Linked DNA regions of Caenorhabditis elegans. The protein of the gene in region 1 interacts with the protein of each later gene in a pairwise test. Each region holds a gene or a part of one and is shown on either strand. Other genes may lie near its edges.

What was found.
Region 2: the proteins of him-17 (region 1) and ptp-8 interact in a two-hybrid assay, tested with the Caenorhabditis elegans proteins (one large-scale study listed by BioGRID).

What each region holds. Positions count from the first base shown.
Region 1 is NC_003283.11:13,174,971-13,180,688, reverse strand, and holds him-17 (High Incidence of Males (increased X chromosome loss)), read right to left. Parts: upstream 3,979-5,718; coding exon 3,940-3,978; intron 3,888-3,939; coding exon 3,792-3,887; intron 3,747-3,791; coding exon 3,312-3,746; intron 3,268-3,311; coding exon 3,154-3,267; intron 3,106-3,153; coding exon 2,715-3,105; intron 2,663-2,714; coding exon 2,199-2,662; intron 2,153-2,198; coding exon 1,973-2,152; intron 1,926-1,972; coding exon 1,089-1,925; intron 1,042-1,088; coding exon 733-1,041; 3' UTR 504-732; downstream 1-503. Other genes in the region: cni-1 (Protein cornichon homolog 1), read right to left, coding at 276-356; noca-1 (Non-centrosomal microtubule array protein 1), read right to left, coding at 5,106-5,237, 5,285-5,635.
Region 2 is NC_003282.8:7,380,532-7,385,327, forward strand, and holds ptp-8 (TYR_PHOSPHATASE_2 domain-containing protein), read left to right. Parts: upstream 1-1,522; 5' UTR 1,523-1,883; coding exon 1,884-1,944; intron 1,945-2,003; coding exon 2,004-2,241; intron 2,242-2,330; coding exon 2,331-2,446; intron 2,447-2,872; coding exon 2,873-3,141; intron 3,142-3,185; coding exon 3,186-3,314; intron 3,315-3,358; coding exon 3,359-3,598; intron 3,599-3,648; coding exon 3,649-3,768; intron 3,769-3,902; exon of another isoform or gene 3,903-3,923; intron 3,924-4,053; coding exon 4,054-4,221; 3' UTR 4,222-4,265; downstream 4,266-4,796. Other genes in the region: mob-3 (MOB kinase activator-like 3), read right to left, coding at 4,549-4,626.

The DNA.
Region 1 (5,718 bases):
AAAATGAATTTTATTGTTATTTTTTTGAAACATTTTTTCTATTTTTTAGGAAAATCTTAAAATTTTAGTTTTTCCATGACACCCTTTTGGGTTATATAACGAAAAAAAAAACTTGAAAAAGGATGATAAATGAAAGTTAATTTCCAACAGATGTGACACGGAAAAACGGTACAATTTGAGATTTTAGCTAAGCTCACTCAGCTCTTTTTTTTCCGAAATTTTGAGAGGTCTCTTAATGAATTTCGTTCACAAATTGATTGACGAATAAAACTTACAGTGTATATCGCGAAGAAGATGCAGAATCCGACAGCAATTAACGCCAGGAGATAACAAAATGCGGCGAATGTGAACGCCATTCTCTGAAAGTGGAGCTTTTAAAATTCTTCTCGTTTCTGTTGTATGAATATAAACATTATTAAACAATAAGTAAAAATTCGGGTGTAATTGATACACGACCGTTTATCAATATAGATATATGGAAAACATAATGAACAATTCAGAAACAACGCAACGAATTTATTAGGCAGATATTGTATATTCGATTGGTGAAATAGAGAAACAGAGAAACGAAAGGGAATAAAACAAAATGGATCTCAATGTGTACAATTTGAAAAGTACTAACTTTTACCGGCTTTTGAAAGTTTGATCACGCGTAATGCAGTGTTGGAAATTCGAGAATAGTTCAAAATGAAAACATTTGAATTAAAAAATGAGGGAAAATGAAATCAAAGTCTACATCTCTTCACCTACGACAACCCCGTCGTCCACAACTTGTTCAACAATTTCTTCGACGACTTCCTCTTCCTCGATAACCTCAAGCTCTTCAGCTTCATCTAAATGATGTTCTTCTTCATAGATAATACATTCTTCTTGTACTACTTCTTCTTCTTCTCCCTCCATTTGGTCTTCAACTTCTTGAAGCTCTCCGTGCTCGTAAATATTAGGCATATCGGCATAGAAGCTGCGTCCAGTATTCTTTTTCCGATTTTCTCTGCGAAGCAATGAATCGTTTCGTCCGTGGAAGTTCAACTCGGTTTCGATCTAGAATAATACATTTTATGTACAAAACTTCGATTTCAAAAACACACCTGGCGCATTCTTTCAGTTCCCAAAAAGTTCAGGACATCATCGTAGTCAAGTCTGCCGGATCCGTTATCATCGAATGTTTCGAGAATCAATGGATGATAAAGTGGTTGAGACTTGCTTAGATCCCATACTTCTTGTCGTTCTTCATCAGTTGTACAGGCAAGAACAGGACATGCTGCAGCTCTTCGCCAGAGTCCAAGTCCAGCGTGATATCGAAGTGAGTTTCGGTTGAAATGAGATGCACAAAGATAGTGTCTTCCTGGTTTCTCAAGACGAGTAGACAGATAACGATAGATCCATGGTTCGCGGCACATTGAGTTTATCCATTTTGTTCGGAGTTTCTCGTCATCGGGTCCCGGGAATGGAATCATTGCAGTGCAATCATTCGCATGAGCACACAAGACACATTCGGACTGAACTCCATACATAAGTCGCCGTTCCGCAATAATACTGAATGGGTCAATTCCATCGGGAAAATGTATATTGCAAATGAGAGCTGGACGATTTGTTTTGGCGAGTGAAGCGAGCGCTTTTTTAATGGTCATTTTATCCGAATGAATGACAATATCGATAAGGAATGATCTTTCAGCTTCAGAGTGTGGGGCTCGGAAAGGCACCATATCTTCCACCTTCTTCCAGTCGTCACATAAAACGCATTTGCATACCGAATTCGGACCTCGTGGTGTCAAATCAAAGTCATCCGAATCTATTGGAAGAGGAAGAGCCTCCGCATCGAGAACAATTTTATCATCCTGATTAACTTGAAAAGCTTTTCTGTTGAAATGATACACACAGATACGGTAACGGGTTGGTTTCGAACGAAGGAATCGACGACGAAGCTGAAAACGAGTAGTTTGTTTCCCTGATAACCTAGCTGTTCACTTACCCAGGAAATCTTCTTGAGCTGAAACTTGTTTCCTTCCTTAACTGGAAATAGGCTATTCGCCCATTTTGTTCGAGTTTCAAAATTATGTGGGATTCCGACAAGAAAACTTTTATCGCTCATGCAAGTATCACAAAGCAAACAAAATGTCTGATGCCACTCTTCCATACGTTCAGGAAGTTGCTAAAAAGAATTGTTAAACGCAAATTTTGTTTTGAAATTAACTCACTCTGAAATCAAGATGGGACTGACACACATTAATCGGGCAGAAATGGTAAGAATCCGACAGGGCTCCTTCAGTTTTTCGTTTCTGCCACAAAGTTTTCATTGATTCTTCAAACTCCGGCGGCCAATCCATAATCTCGAGCCATTTCTTGTGTCGACACTCATCAAACGGCCATGTTCGAATCGAGAACTTGTATGGGAAATTGTTGGGAAACTCGTTTCCGATGGGCTCAACAGCGCTGCACACCTGACAGAGACGTTTCGAATATGGAATGTCTCCCATCTTCTCGATCAATTCATTTTCTTCGTCTGAATCATCTGAATATTCAACACCTTCCTCGGAAATTCCAATTTTCAAATTATCAGCAGTCGCATTCGATTCTCCTGATGTTCCAGACGTTCCTGGTTGCAAATCAGCTTCATTCAGTTTCTTCTCAACGTTTTGCTTTATTTGCAGGATAGGATGCACTAAAAAGGAAAATTTAAAATATTTCAAATTAGAAATGAAACAATAACTCACAAACTTGTTCAGCTTCAGATGGAACACTATTCGTCAGAAACTGTCGAATGTCATCTCCAACAATAATATCTTCATCATCTGCAGTACCATTTTGACTCAACAAGTCCGCACTTTTCCACATAGCTCTTTCCCAGAACATCTCATCCCGACACTTGTCCACCAGATACTTTCGTTCGCCTCGCTTGTCCGAAGCCACGAGTCTTGGATCAGGTAACGCATTTTTGAGAAGACGCCACTCTCCAAATCCATTTATCTCGAAACTGCTATCAGAAATGTGATAATCGCATAGGAATTGGGTGACTCCGCCTCGTAATGCATGGAGTAGACGGTTCTTATAAGTTTCATTTCCAGAAGCTAGCTGTTCAATCCATCGCAGTCTTTTGGCACGATTCTGAAATAATCTTTTTGAAAATTAATTGTTTCTGTGACCATGTCTCACTCTAATGAAAGGAAGCATGGTTGCAAGAGGGCCGTCTCTACCACAAAAAACGCACTGAAGGTGTATGGCATCGAAATCGAATTGAATATCTTCCACAACAGAATGTCTTCCTTCCTGAAAGAATTTAAATACATGTAAAAAGCAGCAATAAAACATACTTCAGGTCTAACGTCAAGGGGTATGAGCTGATTTCCTTTCATATGCTGTGAGCCTGCTGGGAAATGAGCTTCGCAGAATTCTCCTCCGTGAGATCCTTCACAAGCCATTTCTCTTAACCACAACTCTGCAGATCGTTCTTCGTCCAGGTTTGACCGGAGAATCCATACTTTTCGCATACGAAGATCGCCGGGTAGAACACGAAGTTTTCCTACTGTTTTCTTACGGCATACATGACAATACTTCATAAAATCGTTGCGACGAGTATACTCTTGTTGCTTGTACCGGTCATAATATCGCGCCTGACTGTGATCGATAAATCCCGTTGATTGAGGCCGCGATCTTTTCCTATTGAACAAATCTTTCATTGTAAGATCTGGGGATTGGTCTTGTATGAGTCCCAAATGAGAAGGCATGAATGGCGTTCGATATGAAGTCTGAAATTCAAATTTTAAACAAGTTTCATACATTTTTCGACGTACCCCTTGCTGATTATCGTCTTCAAAGTAAGCTCCAACATCGTTACTCTCGTCGTCATCTAGTTTTCTTCTACATTCATCAATGATAAGTTCATCGTCCTGAAAGCTTTTGTAAAGTTTATTGGCGTGTGAATTATCGAATTTTTCTCACCTCCGCTGGGTTTTTCGATGTACTTGGGCGTTTTGCCATCTGAAATTTGTATCATATTGAAAAAAAAACAAAGAATAAATCAAGAAATAAAAACAAAAGTGATTATTCTTTAAAAAAGCATGAAAAAGCAGAAATAAAAGCAATGAGAGCGGCAAGCGTTGTTGAAACATAGCTCCGCCCCTTTGCAACCCTCGCACGCGGTTCTTGCAACCACCGCGCAGTTTTCATCACATTATTTTTACGGTGGGGAGAACAATAAATTTAATTAAACAAAGAATTAATGTGTTCTGAGTTTCTACGATTAACTAAGTAATATTTCTGTATTTAAAACAATATTTTCGTAATGAAATTATGATAATTTCGTACCGGTCACCAGTTAAAACTTGAAAAATAGTGTCGCAACTCAAAATTACAAATTTCAACACTGAAAACCATAATGAAACAGGAATAAACTTCACTTCTTAGTTTCTAAAAATCTTCATTATTCAATATAATGCATTTTAGTTTTTCAAAAAACTGTTTTTTAATCTAGTTCTCTGTCGGAATTTGAATTTTGAATAAATTAAACATTCACTCGCATTTCCCCGTATTCGATAGTTTCAGAGTAGTTTTTAAAAGATAGTTTTCAATTCTCATTTAAAAATTGCAGTCATATTCATTTCAATTCCAGGCACAAATGCCAGTACATTCATCAATAATGATATGGAAGTGGATAGAAATGATAGAATATTGAAGATGACATGGAAAATGAAGTCTTGTGGGACGAGCTTTATTAGTAAAACAACAACGTCCGGGGGAACATTTGATGGATGAATGGGGACGAGATACCGCGTAATGGGAAATGGGTTCGAAAGTTTCGATGAATGCGGTTCTGGAAGAAAAATCATGACGCATCAAATCCTGGCCATGAAATGCACAGAAATGTGAATTCACTACGAGTATCTTGATAATATCACGTTCGTCATACAGTAAACGCATTTGACAGTATTAATTACACGACTGAGAGTAGATTGGGTACTTACACGGTCATTAATTCATGGAGTTGGGATCAAGAAGAAGTCAAATAAAATTTAAAAAAGAACATTGAAATGTGTTGAGAACTATGGTACAATTGATTACGAGCAAAACATGATTAAAATACAAGATGTTCAGATATAGATAATGTTCTATTGAACTCTGCATACATCACGATCACCATCTCCTTCTGCATTTGTTTGACCATGCCAATCTGCGAGTTGACAGCGAATTGTATCTAGGTCTTTATCGAGATCAGCGAGTTTTCCGCATTGCTTCGAGAGCTGAAAAAAAAACAATAACTTTATTAGCATTCTGAGTGCTAACATACCGCTGATTCAGCAGACATCATTGAAAACGGTTGTGATGCATCAGCCTCATGATCTTCATCATCTTCCATTTCACTTTCAGACATCACATTCAACTTGACACCGAGCAGACGAGCAACATCAGGATTCTCTCCACGTGCCATTCGGTCTACCGTATCCTTCAGACAAACAACCATAGCTCTACACATTGTTATGTGACGGTTTTGTTCACGAATCGATCGGCTCATATTGGCGGTGATATCATCACGCTGTTTAGATGAGTTGAGCGCAAAATTCGAAAAACTCTTCGTTAATCCACTGGACTTTGAGTGCGATAGTGGTGACATATTGTGGGACCCGAGTGTCGAATGAGCCTGAAAATTATGTATTTAGATCTCTAGGGGTAGGCAAACATTCTGAATTTTTTTTTGATTTTTTCTGAAATTGTCCTTCATCA
Region 2 (4,796 bases), on another chromosome or scaffold:
ACTCAACGTTCATTGAATTTCAAAAGATAAATTTTGTTGAATAGTGAGTGAAAAATATTTTTCTACATTTTACCAGTTTTAAGTTTTCGGATATTTTCATGTTCCGCCAAGTTACAGACCGTTTTTCAAAAAAATCCAATTTCGCTTATAAAAATCTTCATATTCAATGTATCGACTTGAAATTTTGAAAAATAATCATTTTTTTTGATGTCTCTACAATGTCCTAAAAATCTTTCAAAAAACACTGTCCATCTCCAAAATCGTCCTTCCCTCCAAAATAAAAAAGTGGACCTTTGCCTTCCGAAAAATGGGCGAAAAACTGAAATTGCGATTTTTGGGTCGAAAAAAATATTTTTAGAAAGCTGAGAACACGCTATTTACGAATTTCATGTTCATTTTAAGTGATTTCTTCTCTTGAACGACCTAAAAATTAAACAAAATTAACATAATTTTTATTTTCACGTGAAATTTTTTAAAATTTGCATTAAAACAATTGAAACACTGAGCAAATTACCAAAAAATTTCACGTGAAAATAAAAATTATGTTAATTTTGTTTAATTTTTAGGTCGTTTAAGAGAAGAAATCACTCAAAATGAACATGAAATTTGTAAATAGCGTGTTCTCAGCTTTCTAAAAATATTTTTTTCGACCCAAAAATCGCAATTTCAGTTTTTCGCCCATTTTTCGGAAGGCAAAGGTCCACTTTCTTATTTTGGAGGGAAGGACGATTTTGGAGATGGACAGTGTTTTTTGAAAGATTTTTTAGGACATTGTAGAGACAGCAAAAAAATGCATATTGTTCAAAATTTCAAGTCGATACGTTGAATATGAAGATTTTTATAAGCGAAATTGGATTTTTTTGAAAAACGGTCTGTAACTTGGCGGAACATGAAAATATCCGAAAACTTAAAACTGGTAAAATGTAGAAAAATATTTTTCACTCACTATTCAACAAAATTTATCTTTTGAAATTCAATGAAAGTTGAGTTATAAAGGGTACAACAAAAGAGTTCTAAAAATTTTTTGTGAATTTTGGAAAAATAGCTTTGACTCCGTGTAACTCTACAAAAAGTTGGTGTATTAAAATAAAAACTATTGAATTAGAAAGAAAAAATATTTCTGTTCATTTTGTTAGTTGGACATTTGTTTTCCAGATGTGTATTTTTTGAGATACGCCAGTTTGAACAATGAGCAAAGGGTAGGCAATGAGAAAAGGTAGTCAACGAGCAACAAGTAGGCAATCAAAACAGGAAGGCAATGAGCACAGGTATTCAATGAGAAAGAGGTAGGCAAAGAGCAAGGGTAGGCAATGAGCAAGGGTAGGCAATGAGAACAGGTAGTCAATGATTTTGGAGTCAATGAGTATTTGCCTACACTACTTCCTAGTCTACGATTGGGTCACGGAAAGTACATGGTTAAAATTAAAAAAAAAAGTTTTTAATGCTCATTTGGATAACAAATTATTACCACCAAACTTTAAAGACGGTAGTTTAATAATTACTACGCCTTATAAAATTTTTTTTTTCAGACCAACTCCAAATAATCTATTAGTCATAAATAAATGCTCAAAAAACTCATGAGAGCAGAAGTAAAGTGGATGTTCCCCGGAAGTCGTTGGCGACGAAAAACGCGTGTCTCTCTTTTTCCATCTTCTGAATTGCCCAACAACGACGGATTCTCGTTTTTCTTTGGAAGCGTTGCCATAGATACTCTCTCTTTCTCCTTTTTTGACTACAACCAGCATGCTCATACACACTTACACACTCCTCCCATTTTCATATCAAGTCGTCTTCAAGAAAATGTAGAAAAAGAAGAAGAGAGGAAGCGACTCTTGATTCTTTTATAAGTGTCAAGAAGAAAAAGAAGGCGATGGTAAATGAGTATGCCGAAATTATGGTTTTCTGGTGAAAGTGATAATTATAAGTTAGAAGATGAAGAAAAAGGTTTGTTAAAGCTTTATTTTATTTTTGAACTTTGTTCCTATCCAATTTCTACGTTTCAGCGTCAGCAACGTATTCTTCTCTGCGTACTGGTATCCTAAGCCTCACACCTGGTGACCAAAAATGTCGGTTATACTGTAGTGGTCCCCGGTGTAGATTCTGTATCGTAGTAACTGGTCAAACTGAAATTCAAGCAATAGATGGTTTATATTCAACATGGATAACATCTGATATTCTTGCAATGGCACGACTTCAAGTTGAACACTTTGACAGTTTGGGAATTGTGGAGAAATTCAAAACGTAAGTTCTATCTCAATTTGGTTGATAGCGGACTGATGATTGGAAACGATCATATTCTGTTATTCATAAACATTGTTCCTATTCTTTAGAAATGGAATACAATCAGTCATAAATCTTCAAGAAAGCGGAGAGCATTCATTCTGTGGAAGCGGTAATCTGACAAGTGGATTTAGTTATGATCCAGAGAATTTGATGAGAAATGGAAGTGAGTTAACTTTATATTAAAGAATTGATAAACGCTCGATTGCAAGTAGGCACGTTCAGGCCCACGTGTCTGTCCAAAAAGATGTAGATCGCCTTACAGGCTGGAATGTATTTTTCGTCTATGCAAAAAAAACCTGACTAGATCACATTTGGATTTCTGTTTTTTGTGACTACCAATGTATTTGGGATTAAATGTTTATTGAACGAGTAGGGTCCAACGAGAAAATATTTCCAACATTTAAATAATAATTTTTCTTCTAAACATGAGTTGAAAATATTTTGTCGACATTTTCCCAATGTTGTCTATTTGGCAGAATATTTTATAAAGAAACTACAGAAACATGACCATGAAAAACTTCAATGTGCAACAGCTTCTTACTTGTCTAATGAATGAACTACGCTTTAAATTATTTCCATTTTTCTTCAGTTTATCACTACAATTTCCCACTCCCCGACTTCCAAGCATGCACACCAAATCGTCTATTGGATATTGTCAAAGTGGTCGATTTTGCATTATCCCATGGAAAAATAGCAGTTCATTGTCATGCGGGTCACGGAAGAACTGGAATGGTGATTGCTGCATGGATGATGTATGCTTTGGGAATGTCTCCGAGTCAAGCAGTTGATACAGTCAGAAGTAGACGTGCAAAAGCTGTTCAAAGTAAGGAACAGGTGAAAACATTGCATGAGTTCAGAGTAAGTTCGTAATCATATACAATCACAAAAGTTCTATATTGCAGCTTCTAATAAGGAACAATGGAGGGATGATTATTCCTAAAAATAAAATGACACATATTTCGGAATATGTGGCATACAATCAAAAGTTTATAAGTAAACCAGAATCTAGATTATACGGTAAAATTCCTAAAGTAAGTATTTAAATTTTCTAAATAAATAAATAACATATTTTCAGATAGTTTACATTGCAATGCGAATAACACTTCAAAAAATGTATTCATCAGTGAATTTCGAAGTAGAAAACGATTACCGTATGAAAATTAAATGCGAAGGGCCATTACCTGAAAATAAATCATTCGATGAACAATTATTAAATGCTCAATTAAATGATGATGATCATGAAAAAACTCATTTTTGGTATATGGATCAAGTGAAGAATGGGCTCTCAATATCTACAATTAGTCGTCAATTAGAGGTTAGTTGGTGAGAGAGATTCAGGAAAATGTTAATCTGATTAAAATTTAGAATGAAGATTTTCGAGATATTATACGTCTTCTTGATTTGTTCTTTCATTCGACATTTCATCAATTGACGCATAAAGAGGAAATATTTGCAGTTTTACAGAATTGGGATCAAACTGAAAAGGTTAGAAATTTTGGAATTGTTGAGCAGATGTACCCGAAAAAATGATTATTTGATAATATACATTCAATGTGAAGAATTGTTAGTGTAGATTTTGTATAAACAAAAAAATAAAATTCGAGTTTAGTGACTTGCATGAAGATATAATTGACAGTTTAGTGAAAATAACGAAATACGTATTCCACTTATCGCGAACTTGAAACAGTAGATTTTAGAACGCAGTTTTTCAAAATAACATGATTTCAAATTATCAGTTTTGCTCTATTACTCCAAATTCCATTTTTTCAGGATTGGTCTCCAACGTTTTGGTTTTTATTAAAATGTATCCGTGAAATGCCTATTCCTCTTCATTTGGCACTATCACGTCTTATTTCCAAATGGTTCCTACGTTCTGAAGTGGAAATCGCGTCACGCATCAAACACATTTTATCATCACCGGTTACTTCAAACGAGTAAATTCAATAAAAGTTTTTTTCGAGAAATAAAAAAAAATGAAATCATTAAAAAAAAAAAAATGAAATCACTTTGGCGGGAAGTCTTTGCATCATAAAGAAACAAAGAAACGGGGAAGGCAAGTAGAAATAGAGGGGAAACGATTTGGATGAATACTGTTTACATGCGATAAATCGTTGGGAATACGGAGAGAATGAGAAGTACAAGTTGAACTGAACATGGAAAAGTTGCACTTTAATTGAGACAGAAAGCAGAAACAGTGATGGTTCACAACCGAAAATGACTGGTATTCAGGAAAAAGAAGAAGAATGACATGAAATGGAACAAAAATCATGACCGGAATGCGTTGGCAGAAGGAATTGGAGCTCGGCGATTTGATGGCTCCAGAAGACGTTCAGTCATGTCTTTCTGAAAAAAAAACAAGTGCTTTTATTTGAAAAAAAAATCACAGATTAATTTTTTTTTGAAGAACATCAAGTTATTTTCCTCAAAATTGAGGACAAACTTCTTTTATTTTTTAAACATTTTTTGTTGGGTCCTTCTTTTTTTTTTGAGAAATCAAAAAAAAATCTTCGCTC